Macaca mulatta: one gene and its partners. The protein of the gene in region 2 purifies or fractionates together with the protein of the main gene of each other region. This does not show direct contact. Links are inferred from orthologs where the notes say so. Each region holds a gene or a part of one and is shown on either strand. Other genes may lie near its edges. The genes, in order: PSMD5, PSMB5, ADRM1 and PSME4.

Region 1 (5,804 bases), on a different chromosome or scaffold from region 2:
TGAAATATGGCCTCGTGGGAAGGGAAAGACCTAATCGTCCCCCAGCCTGACACCCATGAAGGGTCTGTGCTGAGGAGGACTAGTATAAGAGGAAAGAAGGCCTCTTGGCAGTTGAGATAGAGAAAAGCATCTGTCTCCTGCCCGTCCCTAGGCAATGGAACATCTCGGTGTAAAACTGAATTGTATGTTCTGTTTACTGAGAAAGGAGAAAACTGCCTTAGGGCGAAAGGTGGGACTTGCTGGCGCAATGCTGCTCTTTATGCACTAAAAAGGTTTATGGAGATGTTTACATATGCATATAAAGGCACAGCACTTTTCCTTAAACTTATGTCACAGAGATCTTTATTCATGTCTTACTGCAGACCTTCTCCCTATGATGATCCTATTATGCTGCCATTTACCTTTTTCTAAGATGGTAAAGATAATGATCAATAAATACTGAGGAACTCAGAGACCCGTGCAGGTGTGGGTCCTCTGTATGCTGAACGCCGGTCCCCTGGGCCCACTTTTTCTTTCTCTATACTTTGTCTCTGTGTCTCATTTCTTTTCTCAAGTTTCTCGTTCCACCTAATGAGAAACGCCCACCCACAGGTGTGGAGGGGCAGGCCACCCCTTCAGGAAACCATGGAAAGGATTAGCACCAACTGACTTGAGATGTATGCTCACTGGGGTTACAGGGTGGGAAGGACTTGCTAGAACAGGAATTTCAGAGTAATGAGAGGTCAGACTAAAACTACAGACCTACCAAGAGGGAAAAAATGAGGGCTTGACTTAAAGAGGAGACAAATAAGAGATATTTCATAGGCCGGCCCAAATAATGTTAACTGATAGACTTCATGAATGGAGAACACTTACAGAAAAGGAAGGAATCTTAGAAGGTCAGAGTGAAGAAAGTGCTCTGAAATCATCCAGTGTTGATTCAGTGGTTCACAATCTTTTCAAGTAGTAAGGTCACTTTAAAGTCTTTGGATCACAAACATTTCAAAACTCTTTTAAATGATCAAAGCATCAAATACAAAGTGGGTTTTTTTTTTCCTTTTTTTCCCCCAGATCCAGGTAAGAAAGAATTATAAAATTTTTTAAAATCTTATCTTATATATATATTTTTAAAGACAGAGTCTTGGCTGGGTGCCGTGGCTCATGCCTGTAATCCCAGCACTTTGGGAGGCCGAGGCAGACGGATCACTTGAGGTCAGGAGTTCGACACCAGCCTGGTCAACATGGTGAAACTGCATCTCTACTAAAAACACAAAAATTAGCTGGGTGTGGTGGTGGTGGCACGTGCTTCAGACTTTGTCTAAAAAAAAAAAAAAAAAAAAGACAGGGCTTCACTCTGTCACCCAGGCTGGAGTGCAGTAGCACAATCTTGGCTCACTGCAACCTCCGCCTCCTGAGCTTCAAGGGATGCTCCCGCCTCAGCCCTCAAGTAGCTGGGACTACAGGCACGCACACCCAGTTAACTCTGTTTTGTTTTGTAGAGATGGGTTTCACCATGTTGCTCAGGCTGGTCTTGAACTCCTGGGCTCAAGTGATCCACCCGCCTCAGCCTCCCAAAGTGTTAGGATTACACAAGTGAGCCACTGCTCCTGGTCTACAAAGTGTTTTTATTTTTATTTTTATTATTTTTTTGAGACAGAGTCCCATTCTGTCACCAGGCTGGATGCAGCGGCGTGATCTCGGCTCACTGCAACCTCTGCCTCCCGGGTTCAAGTGATTCTCCTGCCTCAGCCTCCCGACTAGCTGGGATTAGCCATGCCTGGCTAATTTTTGTATTTTTAGTAGAGATGGGGTTTCACTATGTTGGCCAGATTGGTCTCGAACTCCTGACCTTGTGATCCACCCACCTCGGCCTCCCAAAGTGCTGGGATTACAGGCATGAGTCACAGCGCCCAGCCTATTTTTGTATTTTTAGTAGAGACGGGGTTTCACCATGTTGGCCAGGATGGTCTCCATCTCTTGACCTGGTGATCCGTCCGCCTCAGCCTCCCAAAGTGTTGGGATTACAGGCGTGAGCCACCGCGCCCAGCCTACAAAGTGTTTTAAATCAAACACTATGGATGTGAAAAAAATAAAAAGTAAAAGTTGTCCTACTTTTTTCAGACCCACTTCCCTAATAATAGTTTCTGGTGTGCCTTCGCAGATCTTTGCAATGTTATACAAGTTATACAAGCCTGTGGGGGTTGGGAGGATTGTAATCCTTTTTAAAAATTACAGGTTAAAATTATAGATTCATAAACTCTGCAATTTTCTTTTTCATTCAACAACACAGAAATCGTTCCATGTCCACATACATATATACATCTACTTCAACGTCTTAAATAACTGCATAGTGTTACAGAGTAGTAGCGCATAATTTGGAATCCCCTGTTAACGGATATTTAGATTGTTTCTAGTCTTTTGGTGTCACACACGATATGTTACAAATATTCTTGCATATAATACTGTAGGGTCCTCCAGTCGCCCCCTTTCTTTCTGTGTGCTGATGGAAAATCAGAGTGCCTTGATTGCTCTCTGACCTAGCCAGCAGCAGGTTTCCCTAGCAGGCTTGACCATAAACCCGGGGCCTTGAACATTCCCAGGCCTGATAAAGGTACCTAGGTTGTTGCCCAAAACACTGGAAGAAACTGGCCTCAATCCCGAGCCAAATTCCTTTAAACTCTCAACTAAACTCCAAACCCAGGAACACCTCTTTTCTCCCGGTGTCCGTCTTGATAATTTCTGCAGCCCTCCGTAGGTTCCCCCTAAACCCTTTTGGACTGATCGCCTTGGCATTCAGTGCTTCTTTCTCTGGCATCCCAACCAGCCACATCTCGGGAAGGTTTGAAGCACTCCCTTGTGGGAACTCCCTTGCCGCTGTTTTTGGGGCGATTCCAGCCTCGGGTTCGAAAGAACAAAATAACTGCACATTTTGTGCGCGTATACTTGCATTAAATTTTTGTAACAAGAATAACTGGATGAAAAGGCATGTGAATTTAAAATGGTGATGGTTCTTGCCACATTGCCAGGACAGGATCCTTTTAGAAGAGGTAACAAATCAAGAACCTGTACAAAGAGATGTGGAATGCTCCTTGTAAGTGGACAGCTTTGCTTTTCTCCTTTAATTTCTATCTGAAGGAGAAGGCAGTGCCTCACTGCTCAGAGGCAGCGAGGCCAGGCGACGGGAGAAAACACCCTGGGGCACTCCCAGAGGCTGAACCTGAATCCCGTCTCCTGCCCTCTGAACCTGGGATCCTTCCCTCTTTGCAAATTTCGGCTACTTTCCACCTTCCCTGTGACTGGGAAAAGCGCTGTTCTTGCCCTCAACCACTCTCGTGTCCATATTTAGGGGTGCCCCTCTCCTCGGCTCAAGGTCCCGGGGTCCTCTCACCTATGGTTCTCATCAAGCAGGGAGAAGAGCGGGCCGAGGCGCAGCTCCGCCGCTTGCTCGCGAAGCTCGTTGAGCGGCACTGCCTGCAGCACTGAGTGAAGAGCGCGTAGCTCCTCCAGCGGCGCTTCCAGCCTCGCTACCTCCCTCAGCAACGCCAAGGCCTGGGCCGCCATCTTGCCCCTCCCCACGCAGGGGTTGGCCAGCGGCCCGGTTCCCGGGGCGCTTCCCTGAACGTCGCGAGATCTGCTGATCACAGCCTCCTTGTCCCTGAGATTGCTATGGGGCTGCCAAGCCTCGCGAGAAGTGTCCGTTAGTGCCGTGTCAACTGTAGCCAGTGGCTGCGGCTCCCTCTGTCTGGCGTCATCTAGGGCGCTGCTCAGGAGATTGCGGAGGCCAGTTAGCCAGTTGGCTTACGTGTTTATCGCGTAGGGCAAGACTTGCCAAATTCCCAGCCAGCGGAGCGGCGAGGATGGGGACTTACGGGAAGTTAAAGAGCTTCGTGGGCGGCCTCGCGGCTCCAAAACCAGGCTCTAGGCGGCGGCGACCGCAGCCGTTAGGGAGGCCACCGCGGCTACGACCGCAGGTGAGGCCGCCCCAGGCGGAGCGGAGGCCTGGAGGGGAATCTTGATCCTGGGCCAGACACCTGTCAAGAGGAGGCGGAGCGTCGTGCCTCCAGGAAGACTGGATGAGTATTCTCCAGGAGCCGGACAAAGGCGTGAGTAATAGGGACGTGCGCCGCCTTGTTGGTGTTGATCAGTCCACCAAGGAGAAGCAGCTGTGGGCGCGGTGGCCGTGCCTGTAATCTCAGCGCTTTGGGAGGCCGCGGCGGAAGGATCGCTTGAGCCCAGGAGTTCGAAACCAGCCTGGGCAACATAGTGAGAACCCAGTCTTTACCAAAAAGAAAAAAAAGAAGAAGAAGAAAAAAATTAGTGCGGTGTGGTAGCACGCACCTGTAGTCTCAGCTACTCGGGAGGCTGAAGCGGGAGGCTCACCTAAGCCTGGGAGGTCGAGGCTGCAGTGAGCTGTGATTATGCCACTGCACTCCAGCCTGGGTGACAGCAAGACCCTGCTTCCCCAACACCTTGGCGCCCTCCCCCCACCCCAAAACCAAAAAAAACCAGTGTGGAAAGTTGGTCGCCCATCTGCTCCAAGCTGCTGTGTATTCCCGGTAATGTAAACATCGTGAAGGTGGAGATCCAGTTAACCTTTTAGGTGGAGGGCCAGATGGTAGAGGGCGACATCTGACCGGGAAGGCCATCTGCAACCAGGCCTAATATATCCACAGGGAACCTGTAGGAAACATCTGGGGAGGACAACCCAAATAAGTATCATGGGAGCAAGGGGTGGTTTGAGAACTTTAAAAATCGCTGCTGTTTTGCAATGTACCAGGTTGATGGGGAGGAAGGACCCTTAAATGCTGAGTGGGCACCGAGTATTCCAAGCAACTGGAGAGAGGCTATGTGCCTCAACAGGTCTTCAACACCAAGGAGACGACCCATCTTTTCTGTGCGTGCCTTCCTACTTTTGGGGCAAAAGACAAAACTCTGGAAAGCTTAGAGGAGGCTAAGGACAGGATTTCCCTCATTTTTTTTGTGGCAGTGCCTCAGGTGACAAAATGATAAAACCACTGCTGCTTTACAAAGACTCTAATCCCCCACTTGTCTTTCAGAAAGAGATAAACGCCTTCCTGTTTTCTTGTGAACACACCCAGAATCACCATTGCCACTTTATGGATTGGTTTTGTTATTTTTTTATCCATCAAGTCCGAAGTCATTTAACAGAAAAAAAAATCCGGAAATCAGAATGTTGCTAATTGTGGACGGAGGTCCCAATCACCCAGATTCATTATTCTTTGTTCATTCTAATGTTGATTGTGTTTCTCCCTCAGGAAGGCCCTAGCTTTCTTCAGCCCTTGGGTTAGGGTATAATCGAAGCATTTGGGAGGTATTACACCAAACATATGTTTGACCACTTTGCTGACTGTATTTAAAAAAACCTTCGCCTTACTCTGAAAGAAACATGGCAACAGTACAATATTGCTGATTCTTTGGTAGTGATAAAAGAGGTGATGGGTGATATAAAATCAGCCACTCTTAAGCTTGCTGGAAACTGTGGGAGGATGTGTGAATGATGATGCATTTTCCCTAGAGCTAATGAAGAAGTTAAAAAAACTTAGTGTCTGCAAAACAGGTGGGTTTAAGATTCATTGATATCAGGGAAAGTGAAATTAGTGAGCTACTCAAGTTTCAATCTTTAGTCACAACTGAGAGTCTATGTCCATAGGAAGAAGTCTTTGCAGACAGAGGAAATTGAATGCTGTCTGATGCCAGACCTCAGGCCTCACTGATGCTGCAATTGATATGGATCCTTTCCTGGATTAAAGCTTGGCTTTTAAAAAAGATTTCAATAAATTGCTTATACCTATAAAGAGATGCAG
Region 2 (5,958 bases):
GTGGTGGCTCACGCCTGTAATCCCAGCACTTTGGGAGGCCGAGGTGGGCGGATCACGAGGTCAGGAGATGGAGAGCATCCTGGCTAACAAGGTGAAACTCATTTCTACTAAAAATACAAAAAAAAAAAGAAAAAGAAAATTAGCTGGGCCTGGTGGCGGGCGCCTGTAGTCCCAGCTACTCGGGAGGCTGAGGCAGGAGAATGGTGGGAACCGGGGAGGCGGAGCTTGCAGTGAGCTGAGATGGCGCCACTGCACTCCAGCCTGGGCGACAGAGCAAAACCTGTCTCAGAAAAAAGAAAAGAAAAAAAAAAATTAGCCAGGAGTCGTGGCAGGCATCTGTAATCCCAGCTACTCAGGACGCTGAAGCAAGAGAATCGCTTGAACCCGGGAGGTGGAAGTTGCAGTGAGCCGAGATCACGCCCTTGCACTCCAGCCTGGGGGACAAGAGCGAGACTTTGTCTCAAAAACAAACAAACAAAATACAGCATATGGCTGGGCGCAGTGGCTCACGCCTGTAATGCCAGCACTTTGGGAGGCTGAGGTGGGTGGACTTCCTGGGGTCAGGAGTTCGAGACCAGCCTGGCCAACGTGGTGAAACCTCGTCTGCGCACGCACACACACACACACACACACACACACACACACACACACACACACACAATTAGCTGGACATGGTGGCGGGCACCTGTAATCCCAGCTACTCGGGAGGCTGAGGCAGGAGAATCACTTGAACCTGGGAAGCAGAGGTTGCAGTGAGCAGAGATCGTGCCACTGTGCTCCAGCCTAGGTGACAGAGCAAGCCTCCATCTCGAAAGAAAAAAAGAAAAAAAAAGAAAAAGAAAAAGAAAAAGAAAAAGAAAAATGCAGAGTCTGCTAGGGGAAAGATGGGGCTGAATTGGGCATCAGAAGAAAGTGGAATTTCGATGTTGATAGATGTTGCTGCTAGAATCCAACAAGGAAGGCCAGACACTGACTTCATAGAGCCACAAAGCAGGAGGCAACATTTCATACATATGCACACTTCCTGGTTTGTTATAGTTCCGAAAAGATTTGAAAAATGAAGGTGGGTGGAGGGAGGAAGAGGCAATGAAATATAGTACGTTCCTGAATAAAGGGCATCATCTTAGCAAGTTGAAGTTAGAGAATCTCTTGGTACATATTTATGCAGTCTCAACCGTCCTCCAGGCTCTGAGATGGTAAATTACTACTGGCACTTATTCAGGTCTGACTTGAGAATCTAGTTTGTGGATTAACTGGACCCTTTGCTTTTTCTTCTTCCATCTGCCTTTTAGGCAATTCATTACTTATTCGAATTTCCACCAGACGGTAGGAGTCAAGAGAAGGAATATTGGATATTAAAAACCGGTTACTGTTAAAGAAGGGTTGCTGTATGGCGACTGACAACAAGAGGTATAGCACTTTATTTTGTTGCGTTTTTTACCACTAATTACTGTGGTTTAACTAATATAGGGAAATGGCCTCAGAATGGATCATTATTTTATCCAGTTTTAGAGGGTGCCCTTAAACAAGATGGCAACCTCAGGGGCGTTAACAAGGTGCTGAAGCAGCAGCGATGTAACCTGTTGCTTGGACACCGGGCTGGAGTGGGCGGACCCACTGCTAAGGGTTCAGAACCAATTTTCAACCAGTCACGCCCTTCTCAAAGATGGCCGACCTCACTTCCCTCACGCAACATGGACGTTTTCAGACACTTCCTGTGAATTTGAGGTTACCCTGATCTAGGACTACTTGCATGACCAAAGCCAAGATGGCAGGTACGTTTAAGATTAGTGAAGCCATCTATTTCCCCAACGCCCTTCGTGAAAATGGTCTTTCCCATCTGGCGCTTCTTTTTGGAGGCGTGGTTGCCAGCAGTCAAAATGGCTCCTTTCGGGAATAGATTTAATAGGAAGTGAAGCTGTGACGGCGAGGCGTTGCCCGACCTATCTTTGCTAGGCGTTCTCAGAGTTAGTTCTTTCTGCCCACACTAGACATGGCGCTTGCCAGCGTGTTGGAGAGACCGCTACCAGTGAACCAGCGCGGGTTTTTCGGACTCGGGGGTCGTGCAGATCTGCTAGATATAGGTCCAGGGAGTCCCAGTGATGGGCTGAGTCTGGCCGCGCCCGGCTGGGGTGTCCCAGAAGAGCCAGGGATCGAAATGCTTCATGGAACAACCACCCTGGCCTTCAAGGTGCGGAGCCAGCCCCCTTGCCTGGCTGATTATTGAACGCCCGCGACTTGCCTGGCCTCCCAGCCTGACCGGAGTTTGCGGTGGCCTTGGCCACCAACCCAGGCGGAGGCGCGGTCCTCTCGTTCGGACCGCAGCAGTTTTGCTGTCTCATTGACCCAGGAGACTCCTGTCTTTGCTCTGGTTGGAGAGGGTGGCGGTGGGGCTGGGGGTAAGTCGGGGAAGGAAGCTGAGGCCTCTTGGGTTGATTCCTAGGCGACCCCAGGTTGCTGCTGTTCAGGATCTTCTAGCTGGGAAAGGGGAAAGGCCGCAACAACAATGAACCTTGGCCGAGGGAAGGCTATTGTAACCGTTTACCAAAGTTTTGGAAACTGGGCGGCCCCTCAAGGCAAGGGTAACCGAAACTGGCATAAAGGGGAAGCTGGGTTCCTCATCTATAAAATGATTTTTTTTGTTGTTTTTGAGACAGGGCTTCGCCCTGTCGCTCAGGCTGGAGTGCAATGGCGCCAGCGCCTCAGCCTCCAGAGTAGCTGAGACTATAGGCACACACCACCACGACAGGCTAAGTTTTTTATTTTTTGTAGAGGTGGATCTCCCTGTGTTGCCCAGGCTGGTCTCCAGCACCTGGCCTCAAGCGATCCTCCCGCCTTGGCCTCCCAAAATGCCAAGATTACAGGAGTGAGCCACCACGCCCATCCTATAAAATGAATTTAATATGAGTTATATCCATGTAAAGGGATTGAGATGTGAAGCTCAGGTGACATTAATATATGGGGAAGTAGAGAAGTGTACTGTGAAGTATAAAAGGATGGAGAAAGAGATGTGCTGGGTTTGGACTGATGCAAAAAGAAGTATGGTAGGAGTGTTTTTGTGGTCTTATGTGGCCTGTTTTGTGTTTTCCTCTGATCTTAACAGTTCCGCCATGGAGTCATAGTTGCAGCTGACTCCAGGGCTACAGCGGGTGCTTACATTGCCTCCCAGACGGTGAAGAAGGTGATAGAGATCAACCCATACCTGCTAGGCACCATGGCTGGGGGCGCAGCGGATTGCAGCTTCTGGGAACGGCTGTTGGCGCGGCAATGTCGAATCTATGAGCTTCGAAATAAGGAACGCATCTCTGTAGCAGCTGCCTCCAAACTGCTTGCCAACATGGTGTATCAGTACAAAGGCATGGGGCTGTCCATGGGCACCATGATCTGTGGCTGGGATAAGAGAGGCCCTGGTGAGTTAAGCTGCAACCACATTATCCTTGGGCTGACACTACGGAGAGGAGGAGTTGTATGGACAGATGAATTAAAGGGTTTGGTGTCAATGCTGAGGAAGTGTAATTAGGTCCTTAGCCCTTCTTTCTCTCTCCTTTTTTTTTTTTTTTTGAGACTGTGGCTCATTCTGTCACTCAGGCTGCAGTGCAGTGGCATGATCTTAGCTCACTGCAGCCTCCGCCCCCAGGTTTAAGTGATTCTCATGCCTCAGCTTCCCGTGTAGCTGGGATTACAGGCGCCCGCCACCATACCTGGTTAGTTTTTGTTTTTGGTTTTTTTTGAGACGGAGTTTCGCTCTTGTCACCTAGGCTGGAGTGCAATGGTGCAATCTTGGCTTATTTCAACCTCCACCTCCGGGATTCAGGCGATTCTCCTGCCTCTGCCCCCGAAGTAGCTGGGATTATAGGCATGCACCACCACACCTGGCTAATTTTTGTATTTTTAGTAGAGATGGGGGTTTGCCATCTTGGTCAGGCTGGTCTCGAACTCCTTACCTCAGGTGATCCACCCTCCTCGGCCTCCCAAAGGACTGGGATTACAGTCGTGAGTCACTGTGCCCGGCCTTATTTTTGTGTTTTTAGTAGAGACGGGATTTCACCATGTTTGCTAAGCTGGTATCCAACGCACATGATCCACTGACCTTGGCCTTGGCCTCCCAAAGTGCTGGGATTACAGGTATAAGCCACCGCACCCAGCCTGTTCCTTCTCTTTTTCAAGGAAGGCACTGTAGTATAGGAAAAGGGATAGAGTTAAATCAGCTGTGTCATTGACTACCTGTTTGACAGTGGGCATGCATATTTTCTCAGCCTCTGTTTTATCATCTGTTATATTGGTTAAGTGAGGTAACAAATGTAAACCTACTAGTATAGTGTCTGGCTAATAATTTTCCATCTGTTCTCTCTCCTATAAAATAAGACCCAGAGGCCAGGCGTGGTGGGTCATACTTGTAATCCCAGCACTTTAGGAGGCCGAGGCAGGTGGATCACGTGAGGTCAGGAATTCAAGACCAGCCTGGCCAACATGGCGAAACCCCATCTCTACTAAAAATACAAAAATTAGCCTGGCGTGGTGGCAGGTGCCTGTAATCCCAGCTACTCAGGAGGCTGAGGCACGAGAATCACTTGAACCCAGGAGGTGGATGTTGCAGTGAGCAGAGATCGCGCCACTGCACTCCAGCCTGGGCAATAGAGTGAGACTCTGTCTCCAAAAAAAAAAAGAATTTAAGAATTTGTTGAATCTTACATGTAGCAGTAGTGCTATTTGAAGTGTTCATTGGCCATGTGTGGCTTGTGGCTACTGTATTAGACTCTAATATATGGTTGTCCCTCAAAAGTTAGTCATTTCTCTTCTGTTTTTTTCTTTTCTTTTTTTTTTTTTTTTTTTTTTTGAGACGAAGTTTTGCTCTTGTCGCCTAGTCTGGAGTGCAATGGCATTGTCTCGGCTCACTGCAACCTCTGCCTCCTGGGTTCAAACAATTCTCCTGCTGCAGCCTCCCAAGTACCTGGGATTACAAGCGCCTGCCACCATGCCCAGCTAATTTTGTATTTTTAGTAGAGATGGGGTTTCACCATGTTGGCCAGGCTGGTCTCAAAATCCTGACCTCAGGTGATTCGCCTGCCTCAGCTTCCCAAAGTGCTAGGATTAAAGGCGTGAGCCACTGCACCTGGCCTCTTCTCCTTTTTTCTTTAGAGAGTCTTTGGCCTAGAAGGAGCCTTTTGGGCTCCTCTCTTTTTTGGGGGGCGTGGGTATAGAGTCTCACTCTTGTCGCCCCTGCTGGAGTGCAGTGGTGCAATCTCAGCTCACTGCACTCTCCGCCTCCCAGGTTCAAGTGATTCTCCTGCCTCAACCTCCCATGTAGCTGAGACTACAGGCATGCGCCACCATGCCCATCTAAATTTTGTATTTTTAGTAGAGACAGGGTTTCACCATGCTGGCCTTGAACTCCTGACCTCAGGTGATCTGCCCACCTCAGCCTGCCAAAGTGTTGAGATTACAGGGGTGAGCCATTGCGCCCAGTCCTGGGCTCATTTCTTTTATTTCTTTGCTGGTTATAATCACCCTTAACAATCGTGCTAGGTCCTGTTCTATCATCTCTGAAAATAAGTTCCTTAGCCTATTTTTCCTTTCCAGCATTTAAGAAACTTGCCAGAAAGTTCGACTCTGTATTTGATGTCATTTCCTCATCAGCCAGTTTTGAAATGTCCCTTTAGTAAAGTTGGAGTGTAGCTAGTCACTTTCTACTTTTCCCTTCCATATGCTTAAAAATAATTATTATTTCCTCCTTTTGTTTTTGCTTCATTAATTTACCTGTTTACTAAATACCTAGTTACCTTGTAGAACAATTATAGGATACCTACCACTTTTTCACTTGCTTTCAAATGAGGATAGAAAGGGATGTAGGGAGTATCTGCTTACTACCCAATGGAGGATGAAAGGAAATTAAAAACTGGATGTGAGAGAGGAGCTCAGTTTGTTACTTTGGAAATTGAGACGCTATTCTCTGAAAGG
Region 3 (5,791 bases), on a different chromosome or scaffold from region 2:
ACAGGCGGCACCACTTGAAGTGACGCAACGGTGGGCCACAGACCCGTCCTACCCCATGAAGATGGGACTGGGGAGTGACCCAGGGAGCTAACAGGGTGTCTAACTTAGAATCTTCTATTTCCACTTCCAAACAACCTGTGCGGAGGGAGCGAGGAGCTAACAGGGTGTCTAACTTAGAATCTTCTATTTCCACTTCCAAACAACCTGTGCGGAGGGAGCGAGTCATCCACAGTAGACTCTGGCCTCCCAGGAAACCCTGAGCTCATGTGACAGAGCTGACAGTTACCGCCTAGTGCAGAGAGCTCGTGGCCGCTGCTCCCGCTCGCCCCCAGAGCCCCAGGCATTGGGGGGTTGTTCAGATACTCGTTGACTTTCCGGCAGTGCTCCTCATCCTGGTCTGTCTTGGGTTCCTGCAGAGAAAGGACACGTAAGAGCAGGAGCCGGTGCCAGCTCACTCTGAGGGCCACCACAGCCATCCTGAGCTGGCTTACAGGTGAGGGACCTGAGAGGCACAGGCGCGTGTACCTGGCTACACAGTGCTGAGGAGACAGGACTCAGCTCAGCAGGTGAGGGGATGGCAGTGGTGCCTGCTGAGCACAATGCTCCGCGCCCTGCCCCAGTCTGCCGCAATGCTGGCTGTGCCCTGTCCCCCTCCACCCATTTCACAGATGGGGAGCCTAGGGCTCCGAAGGCACTTGGCTGCTGCCAAGCCAAGTCCTCTCACCCTCTTGCTCTCTGGGGTGTGGTTCTTTATACACCTGTCTCCTTCCTTCAACCAGTGGAAGGCAGCGAACTGGCCCGCTCAGCACACCACAGCCCAGAGCCACGGCAGGCCCTCACAATCGAGCACACGTGTGTGTCCCCACACGTGCACAGACCAGGGTCAGAAGCATCAACCTGCGAGCACACAGAGCTGGGAGCAGAGCACCCACGCACACCTCCAACAGCTATGGAGGCTGCAGGGCGCCAGGGACACTGGGAGTCCCTGCCCTCATGGGCACACCCCGAACGGCAGGGCGCCAGGGACACTGGGAGTCCCTGCCCTCATGGCAAAGCGGGGACAGGGACTTAAAAGTCATCAACAGGAAAATCGGGAAAAAAAGGGGAGAGGGTGGTAACAGTTGGACACTACTTCTTGGCAAAACCGTGGAAAAACACGTTCTACACCAGCAGGTGGCAAACTGTGCTCCCCATCTGTGTTTGCAAATAAAGTTTAATTGGAACTCGGCTATGCCTGTTCATTTCCCAGGCCACGTGCACAGTGCCTGCAGAGGTGAGCGGCAACACGGACCATCTGCCCCCCAGAGGCCTCTCAGACAGGGCCACCCTTGCTCTCGAAAGGGCCAAGGTTGGGGGTGGGGACAGCAGCTCCACCTCTGGCAGAGGGCATGGCATTCTCTCTCCACATTGCAAACGCACGCACACGCTTTCTGACCACAGGCCCGCCACCAGTTTTCACCTCCAGATTATACTGGCTTATGGAAAATAATCTGTGTACCAGGCAATTCTTTGCAACACTGCCTGTAACAGCACAAAAAACAGCAACAAGCTCAATGGTCACTGACAGAGGGCAGAATGAGCAATGGCCTCTGGACCCAACGGACGCTCTGCAGCTGTGGGTAAGAGAAACCCTGGGCGCTGATACCCCTGGCCTCCAGGACACACTGCCAGGGAAGGGGCAGGGCTGTGGAGAGGGAGAGGAGAATGCTTCGTTTCTGTGAGCCACACAGGAGCCCCTGCCTCTGCTGCGGGGGCCTCAGTGACCCACAGCAAGGGGCAGAGAGGGCACTGGGCATCGCTGGAACCAGGGTCAGCATGCCTGTCTGGCTGGAAATTCCACACCGCAATTGGGTACCCGGAGCCCAGCCTGGAGCCGCCGTACTCTGGGAGAGGACCTCGGCCCCAGGGAACACGCACCACAGTCCCGGGGTGGCATCTCAGGCCGTGTGGCCGGTGCCCGCTGGTTTGTAACAGCCAATTGCACCACACTGCAAGCAAGTTCCTAACTGAATCACAGGGCAACAAAAAGGCAAAACCCCAAGAGCTGCCCCGTACCTGCATCCAGAAGAAAAGCCGCTTGGACCCTGCCTTGAACTTCAGCACGTAGACCCTCCCGCTGGGGCACTGCGGCACCCGCTTGAACTCACAGTCGTCAGGGAAGATGATCAAGTCCTGGCAAGCCACAGGAAGAGAGAGTCAGCGGTGCAGATGGCACCACTGTGCCCAGTCTCAGGAGAGCATGCCAGGCCCTGGGTCTAACGGGGTGGGGTGCACAAGAGGCAGCTAAGCCGCCAGATCCCTCGCTGGCAGGGTCTCCCCCAGGTGGAGAAGCCAGGGTCAGAGACAGCCCATGAAAGGCAAGGCGCGGGGGAGAGAGCAGGAAATGGGCCTTTCAGATAGCAACAGGGTTTCTGAGACGTGTTGGGAACAACATTCCTAGAGTAGTTAAAAGGTCAACTCTGAACTACTCTCCAATGTAACAAAAAACAACTTAAAGTTTGAAGAACAAAGACGACTGAGTGAAGCGGCCAGGCAGAGAGCTCCAGGCTCTCCAGGGCCACACCTCCAACCCCAGGCACCTCACACGGAAAGTTCAAGACACACAGTGGCCGAGACGCCCCTGTCATCGCGGAAACCAGGACGACTCATCAGCACGACAGCCGATGACGGCCTCACGAGCGTTCCCCAGATGCGGCCAAGCCCCCACCGCGAACTCCAAAGCGAGGACTCCGAGGGCCCGAGAAGTCGCCTGTCCCGCTGTCGCGGCTCTGGGACACTCACGTCTTCCACGTTCCCGGACGTCCTGTCCTTCCAGCAGAAGTGAATAAGCGAGTCGTCCGTCTGCTGAATGTACACCAGCCCTTTCCGCTTATCCGGGGTCACGGTGGTCCCCTTCAGGGACATCTTTCCCGCCCGAAACTCCACCAGGTACTTGTTGGAGGCGCCCCGAGAGCCTGGCACCAGGCTTGGGAAGAGCGCGCCTGAGGTCGTCATCCTGAAAGCGCGGAGACGACGCTGAGACGCGGCGGTCACGGTCGCCTGCGGTCCGGCAAGCTCCCGCCCCCTGGGGTGTTTGGGAGCAGGGGGCCGGCGCCCAGAGCTGCCTAAGGCCGCGCAGGCCCCGTCCACACTGACACGCCGGGCTGCTTTCCGCGTTTCCCCCGCGCCCGCCGAACGCACCGCTCGCAGTCGGCGCTGGGCCGGGGCAGCCCCGCCGAGCCTAATGGGGCCGGCCCCAGGCGTGACGCCGTCTCCGCGGGGAACCAGCCTCGACGCGCCGCCCCGGCGACCCGCTCCGCGGGGCAGATCCGCCCGAGCTCCCGCCGAGCCCCACGCTCAGGGCAGCAGGCGGAACCGGGGCGGCGCCCGAACCCCAGAGCCCCCACCCGGCCCGGCCCCCGCAGGCCCCGCCCGCCGCGCCGGCCACCTTCTCGTCCTGGCTGACCCCGCCCCATCCCCGGACCAGCAGCCCCTGCCCCCGCCTCCGGTCGCCCCCGGCCGCCCCAGGACCTGCGACCCCCGCACCTGCCTCGCGCCCACACTCGTACGAGAGGCGCCGTCCGGGCTCTTCCTCCTCGGCGCCTGCCGGGCCCCGCCGGAAGCCCGCGTTCGGCCCGCCCCGCCTGCCGCTCTCGCCACCGATTGGGCCCCGGAGGCCCCGAGGCCGGCCCTAATCTGCCACCGATTGGCGAGGGCGACCGTCCATCGCACTCGCTCCTCCCCGGTCCGCCCCCGCGCCGGCGCCTCTTTTCCGGCGGAAGCGCGGGCCGGGAGGCGCGTGGGCCAGAGCGGCCCCTATTGTTGCTGTGTCATAGGGGAGCGGCGGCGGCCCCTAGAGGCGGCGCCAAGGACCGCAGGCGGGTTTCAGAAGCGCGCTGGGGACCTGCTGAGGTCGGGCCAAGCCCACCCCTCGGCGTCGCCAGCCCGGGCGGGAAGAGCTGTCACTCGTGTGACTGTGCCAGGGGATAGGAGGAAGCCGAGGAGTGCGGTCCGGCTCTGGGCGGCAGGCACCAGGGCTACGCACAGAAGTGACCATGGTTCAGCGCTTCGGGCACCCGGGCAGGAGCTGCAGTCCACGCGTCCGGGAGAGCAGGGGTGAGAACCGTGACATGGTCTCAGCTGCATACATCTAGTCCCGCAGGGGTCGGGGAGGGCAGAGGTCAGGGAGGGATGGGTCCCGGAGGAGAGGGGTCCCGGGAGGGGAGGGGGTCTCCGAGGGGAGGGATTTGGGAGGGGTGAGTCCGGGAGGGGAGAGGTTCCCGGAGGGGAGGGGGCCCGGGAGGGAAGAGGGTCCCGGAGGGAAGGGATCTGGGAGGGGTGAGTCCGGGAGGGGAGGAGTCAGGGAAGGCCTGAGTCCCAGAGGGGTGGGGTCCGGGAGGGCAGGGGTCCCGGAGGGCAGGGGCTTATCCTCTGGGCGCCTGGATGGGAAAGGCCACAGGGTAAAAAGGCTGCAGTCGCCCTCCAGTGTTGTGTAACTTTGAGTCACTTTTGACACAAACTAAAGCGAAGACAACAGAGAGTGCTTGTGGCGCCCCAGCCGGCTGCTGAAGAGGGACACGTTCTTTGGGATTTGCCTACAGCGACGCCAGGCGGGGGCTCTTAGAGGGGTCGGGCGCGGTGGCTCACGCCTGTAATTCCAGCACTTTGGGAGGCCGAGGTGGGCGGATCACTTGAGGCCAAGAGTTCAAGACCAGCCTGGGCAACATGATGAAACCCCGACTCTACTAATGCAAAAATTAGCAAGGTGTGCTGGCACATGCCTGTAATTCCAGCTACTCAGGAGGCTGAGGCACGAGAATCGCCTGAACCCGGGAGGTGGAGGTTGCAGTGAGCTGAGATTGTGCCACTGCACTCCAGCCTGGGCAACAAAGGGAGACTCCTCAAAAATAAAAAATAAAATAAATAAATAATAATAGTAATAAAAATAGGTCAGGAGCTTCGTGAGAACCCCGAGGTGCAGTGGCCTCGGCACCCGTTAAGCAGGAGGACTAGATGTCTGCAGCTGAGACCCTGCCAGGGTCCTCGGGTTCTCCTTTGCCCACCGCTCACTTCCTTCTTTCCTTCAGATACTCTGCTCACTTCGGGCGTTCCCCGGGGTCAGGGTGTGCTTGGTGGCTCACGCTCCGAGTGGATGCACAGCTCTCTGAGGTCTTTAGGTGTATGTTTTCATTCACCCTTGTTGGGAGATGCGTTGGTGTTGATGCTGGCAGCTCCAGTCCTTTCATTCTGCAGGGAGCCTACTGCTCAGCCCTCCATTGTCTCAGTGGCAGAGCATGTGCCAGTTATGTTTAGTTGCCAGCTTTTGACTGTCATAATGTTCCCATTCATGTTGTTTTGGAAAATGTAGCTATTTTTCATTTTAAAATGTGTGTTAACAGGTAGTGAGTTTGTTATTTTTATGTAGTTAAATAATTTTAAATGTCCTTTTAATTCCTAGTATGGTAAATGTCAATAAAGCTCACATAAACAAAAGCTCTTGGGGGCCTGTATAATTTTTAAGAATTTAAGCGGTCCAGAGGCTAAAGGGTTTGAGAGGGGCTAACACAAAGCTCTGGGGCCCGCTGGTGATAGGTGCGCCACTGATACTGCAGCCCCGTCCTCGTGCCCTCATGTAAAACAGGGAAAAGGTGGAAATGAGAAAACCCAACCCGGCTTTCCCGGCAAGAGGGTGGCAGGCAAGTGTCACTTATTGACGTCACAGACAGTGAAGCAGCAGCTCCAGGGTCCGCAGGGGCCAAATGTGCAGAGGCCAACGAAGTGGCCAAGAGGGCCCTGGATTTACCATTTCCTC
Region 4 (4,983 bases), on a different chromosome or scaffold from region 2:
CACATCAAAACATGCACAGATCTGACTACTTAAGAGTGGTAGTGGTATTATAATAATGTATACACTACATGCTATAAGCAATAAATAAGACACTACATGCTATAAGCAATAAAAAGTCACACCTCCCAATAACCAGGAAAACGCAAACTTGAAACAATGAGGCATTTTTACCTACTCCTAATTTAGTGTTTTCCTCCCCTCACAAAACAAAAATGTGTAGTAATGAAAAGCAGTGTAAAGTATAATGGGTAGTTCACATTTAAGTTTTGTGTCATTATATGTTAGCACTGGCTTTTTTGAAAAGCAATAAATAGCCATAAAATTAACAGTAAAATTGTTTATATATTTACATTTACTAATCCCAATTTTCGTAATCTATTCTAAGAAAATACACTGCAGGCCGGGCACGGAGGCTTACGCCTGTAATCCCAGCACTTTGGGAGGCCAAGGCAGGAGGATTGCTTGAGCCCAGGAGTTGGAGACCAGCCTGGGCAACAGAGTGAGACCCATGTCTACAGAAACTAAAAACTTAAAAACACAGAGTGAAAATATATACTATAATATGAAAGGTTAAACAAATTACAAATATTGATAGCATAGTACTGAAAATATGAAAGTAATCTAGTCAGTAGTTAATTATGAAAATAAATTTTGGAGGCCGGGCGCGGTGGCTCACGCCTGTAATCCCAACACTTTGGGAGGCCGAGGCGGGCAGATCGCGAGGTCAGGAGATCGAGACCATCCTGGGGAAACCTCGTCTCTACTAAAAATACAAAAACATAAATTAACCGTGGTGTCAGGTGCCTGTAGTCCCAGCTACTCGGGAGGCTGGGGCAGGAGAATGGCGTGAACCCAGGAGGTGGAGCTTTCAGTGAGCCGAGATCGCGCCACTGCACTCCAGCCTGGGCGACAGAGCGCGACTCCGTCTTAAAGAAAAAAAGAAAAAGAAAAGAAAAATTATGGCATATAAGCTTTATAGGAAATAGTGCAACCAGTAAAACATTTTACAATGTATTTCATATGCTAGTGTAACGGACGCAGGAAAGAACATTATGTACTCGACAGACTATGATGATAAACTTACGAAAAACCTTTTGAAGGAATACAACAGAGCAAAACATCTGTTTTTTAAAATTATCATTGTGTATTATGAACATTAAACATAAATGTGATTTATATGTGAAATGATGCCTTTTTACTGCTTTTTTTTCCAAAAAGTTGAGTTACCATTCCAATTTGAAATGAACTGTGTACACGCTTCATTTAGTATTTGTGTAAACTGTGTTTACAATCTGACAGCAGCCTGTGAAATTCATAAGAATTAAACAGGATATAAGTCTCTATGATGTATGCCAATTACAGAAATTAGGTTGGTCTGTGCTTTGTTACTAACAAAAATAGCTAAGGCAGTGGCCTTCAGAGATGTAGTCTGGGAAAACTTGATCTTAATGTCAGGCTCTGGCACTGCTTTTACAGTTATAGCCCTGATGAGAGCTATCAGTAGGGAAGATAATTTATGGAGAAATTTAATTTTTCTAAAAGAGGTAAAAGTTTATGCTCATAACCCTAATGTAGTTTTTATCCATTACAAGGCCACAGACTCTGAGAATCTGCTGAAATCTCTATTAAGAAACTGCCAAAGAGCATACACAAAATTTGCATGTAATTTCAGGGAAGGTCTTCACCCCAGTTCCCACACTACCCCCTATCCTCCATTATTCCCTCAGACTTAGAATGTCAGTTCTAATAGACATAATTATATCTACAGGTTCGAGAAATGGCTGCTACTACCTTAAGCGGTCTGCTACAGTGTAACTTCCTTACCATGGACAGTCCTATGCAGATTCATTTTGAGCAACTTTGCAAAACAAAACTACCTAAGAAAAGAAAGCGAGACCCTGGTTCTGTAGGAGATACCATTCCTTCTGCAGGTAACATTGCTGGTAGAAAACACTCATATCCTGTTGGGAATTAATGAGGGTTAACCAGGCTTACTCATATTTATTGAATACTTGTATGTATGTGCCCAGGTCTATGCTAGGTATTGGGAAAAGTTTTCCCTACTTTTGAGGAATTTTGCATATAGAAAGCAGGACTTGGGAATGTAGAAAAGCTAAAATTGAGGTAAGTACAAAGGAACCTGTAGAACTGCTACCTAATAACTATTGTAATCAGTCTACCCTCCACCCAGAATAGCTTCATAAAAGAGATACTCAGATTAGTTATTTTGGAGGGTCTGAAATACCTGTTTTTGGAATTTAGAACTTAAATGTAGATGTACTGACAGAAAAAACTAAACAAAGCAAGCCTTGTTTTGATTTGGAGATGGGGATTATTTGGTCCTTCATTAGTCCTTTGGTGAGAGAGTGCAGAGTCATTGCAGGAGCTGCCTTAGTTGAATATAGACACAAGTTAAACACGAGAATAAGATCTGACTACTATGTCATGTTTAAAGAGAAATGTGAATGTGATTACAAAGATGCATCTTGCCACGTTAACTATAATCCTAATAGAAAATACATAAAAAGATTAATAGTAAGTAGGCATTTTATTGAATTTAGAGGACGTGCTTAGAATATAAAACTTTTACTGCTGATTAGTGTCTTAATTATGTCATAAAGTTACCTAGTAACAGAATCCAATAAAATATCAATGTACGTTCTAGTATCTTTGCTTTTTGGGATATACATATATATGTTTTATATATAATATAAACATATTTTATAATACATATCTTTTGGAAACAGGATCTTCCACTGTCTCCCAGGCTGGAGTGCAGTGGCATGATCTCGGCCCCCTGAAACCTCCACTTCCTGGGTTCAGGCAATTCTCATGCCTCTGTTAGCTGAGTAGCTAGAATTACAGGCGCGCACTACCACACCAGCTAATTATTTGTATGTTTAGTAGAGATGGGGTTTCACCATGTTGGTCAGGCTGGTCTTGGACTCCTGACCTCAAGTGATCCACCCACCTGGGCATTCTAGAATACTGGGATTACAGACGTGAGCCACAGCACTGGCCTGAGAACTCTATTTTTTAAATGATAAAGTGCCAAAGTATTTTTAGGTCTTTGTTACACCAAATGATATTGTTTACAATTTTGACCAGTCCAAATTCTCTTTTCCTTACCTTCAACTCCGTTTTCCATGTGTCACATATACACATGTAATATGTTTTAAAACACATGAATACACACACTTTTATTGAGAAACTGAGAATTTGAAACGATTTTAACTTACAGCACTACAGAAAGAATAGAGACCCTTTAGAATACAGACATGCTGCAATTCACTGTTTTAAGAAATAGACCTTCTTCATACATGATGTGTTAACTAATGAATCAATGTATTCTGGGTAGGGTCGTCACATCCAGAAAAAAAAAAAGCTAATTTTGATTGGAGATTATTTTAGAATCAGGGATTGTACTGGCCTAGGTACAATTATGCTGTCATGGATGAACAACTATGGAAGTCTTGAAAAAAATCTTTTTTTTTTTTTTTTTTTTTTTTTTTTTTTTTTTTTTTGAGATAAGGTCTTGCTCTGTCGCCCTCCTTGGAGTGCAGTGGTTTTGAACAATAGCTCACTGCAGCCTTGACCTCCCAGGCCCAAGCGATCCTCCTGCCTCAGCCTCTTGTCCAGCTGGAACCACAGGCATGCACTGCCATGCCCAGCTAATTTTGTTTTTGTTTTTGTTTTTTTAATTTTTTTTGAGATGGAGCTCGCTCTGTGGCACAGGCTGGAGTGCAATGGTGCGATCTTGGCTCGCCGCAACCTCTGCTTCCCCGGTTCAAATGATTCTCATGCCTCAGCCTCTGGGTATCTGTGACTTCACATGCCATTACACCCAGCTAATTTTTGTATTTTTAGTAGAGACAGGGTTTCGCCACGTTGGCCAAGCTGGTCTTGAACTCTTGACCTCAGGTGATCCACCTGTCCCGGCCTCTCAACGTGCTGGGATTATAGGCATGAGCCACCATGCCTGACTGCCAGCTAATTTTAAAAATGTATTTTTGGAGAGACAGGTTCTCACTTTGTTGCCCTGACTGGTCTCAAATTCCTGGCCTCAAGTGATCCTCCCACCTTGGCCTCCCAAAGTGCTGGGATTACAGGTATGAGCCACTGTGCCCAGCTGACAAATTCTTAAATACAGTATTATTTTTAGTTTAGCCTCAAAATCAAGTTTTTGATGTGTATACATGTAGATTCATTTTAAATGCAGAAATTCACATATTGAAAACAACATAATTGAAAACTAATTTTATTTCACTGTCACAGCTGCATTAGAGACATGTAAATATTTGCACATATGTTGCTGTTTTCTTTGCAGAGTTGGTCAAACGCCATGCTGGGGTGCTAGGACTTGGCGCATGTGTTCTTTCTAGTCCTTATGATGTTCCCACCTGGATGCCCCAGCTCCTCATGAATCTCAGTGCACATCTAAATGATCCTCAGCCTATTGAGGTACAGTTCTTCCTTATTAGTTTGTACATGTAGTATCAGTGATGTTTTCTAAGAAACCATAATAATAATTTCCTATACACTCTGAACTAACTGCTTTCATAAAGCTACTGCCTCTGCCAGGGCTCAGTCTGTTCACCAGTAATTATTTAAAAATTACAGAGACCTTGCTGCCATGGATATTTGAGATCTTTTGGTAGTCAAGAAATTATTGTAGCTTCTATCCCTCCCAGTTCAATGGAAGTAAAGTACTGTCACTATAGCTGTGATAAATTTTATGTTTCTATTTTTCTAGCACTGCAAAGTATTTTACTGGAAGCTAGTATTAAATAGGAAATTATGATGGCATTTTTAGTAACTCAAAAGACCATTGACTTTGTCCTTCTCATTGGCTTTTTGGTTTTGTAGCATTTGGTATTGTGTGAGATCTGAAGTCTAGAGGGATGGTAATTTAACTAAAAATATCCTACCTATGATCCTGGTTGTCCAGAGAGGTTAAAAACGTATGTGGATTGTCTACTTTAC

The links.
Region 1: the proteins of PSMB5 (region 2) and PSMD5 fractionate together in Homo sapiens (co-fractionation; 3 studies listed by BioGRID). This does not show direct contact. The link is inferred for Macaca mulatta from reciprocal best matches to the Homo sapiens genes PSMB5 and PSMD5.
Region 3: the proteins of PSMB5 (region 2) and ADRM1 fractionate together in Homo sapiens (co-fractionation; 4 studies listed by BioGRID, with this or other methods). This does not show direct contact. The link is inferred for Macaca mulatta from reciprocal best matches to the Homo sapiens genes PSMB5 and ADRM1.
Region 4: the proteins of PSMB5 (region 2) and PSME4 purify together in Homo sapiens (affinity purification with mass spectrometry; 3 studies listed by BioGRID and IntAct, with this or other methods). This does not show direct contact. The link is inferred for Macaca mulatta from reciprocal best matches to the Homo sapiens genes PSMB5 and PSME4.

The regions. Positions count from the first base shown.
Region 1 is NC_133420.1:37,356,772-37,362,575, reverse strand, and holds the start of PSMD5 (26S proteasome non-ATPase regulatory subunit 5), read right to left. Parts: upstream 3,620-5,804; 5' UTR 3,541-3,619; coding exon 3,368-3,540; intron 1-3,367. UniProt on the Homo sapiens protein: Acts as a chaperone during the assembly of the 26S proteasome, specifically of the base subcomplex of the PA700/19S regulatory complex (RC).
Region 2 is NC_133412.1:96,124,653-96,130,610, reverse strand, and holds the start of PSMB5 (proteasome subunit beta type-5), read left to right. Parts: upstream 1-1,981; 5' UTR 1,982-1,993; coding exon 1,994-2,191; intron 2,192-3,100; exon of another isoform or gene 3,101-3,103; coding exon 3,104-3,410; exon of another isoform or gene 3,411-3,872; intron 3,873-5,958. UniProt on the Homo sapiens protein: Component of the 20S core proteasome complex involved in the proteolytic degradation of most intracellular proteins. This complex plays numerous essential roles within the cell by associating with different regulatory particles.
Region 3 is NC_133415.1:115,095,516-115,101,306, reverse strand, and holds the start of ADRM1 (proteasomal ubiquitin receptor ADRM1), read right to left. Parts: upstream 3,614-5,791; 5' UTR 3,526-3,613; exon of another isoform or gene 3,456-3,525; coding exon of another isoform or gene 3,181-3,455; intron 2,996-3,180; coding exon of another isoform or gene 2,995-2,995; coding exon 2,782-2,994; intron 2,173-2,781; coding exon 2,056-2,172; intron 1,228-2,055; exon of another isoform or gene 417-1,227; intron 411-416; coding exon 287-410; intron 31-286; exon of another isoform or gene 1-30. UniProt on the Homo sapiens protein: Component of the 26S proteasome, a multiprotein complex involved in the ATP-dependent degradation of ubiquitinated proteins.
Region 4 is NC_133418.1:70,792,130-70,797,112, forward strand, and holds part of PSME4 (proteasome activator complex subunit 4), read left to right. Parts: intron 1-1,768; coding exon 1,769-1,931; intron 1,932-4,327; coding exon 4,328-4,461; intron 4,462-4,983. UniProt on the Homo sapiens protein: Associated component of the proteasome that specifically recognizes acetylated histones and promotes ATP- and ubiquitin-independent degradation of core histones during spermatogenesis and DNA damage response.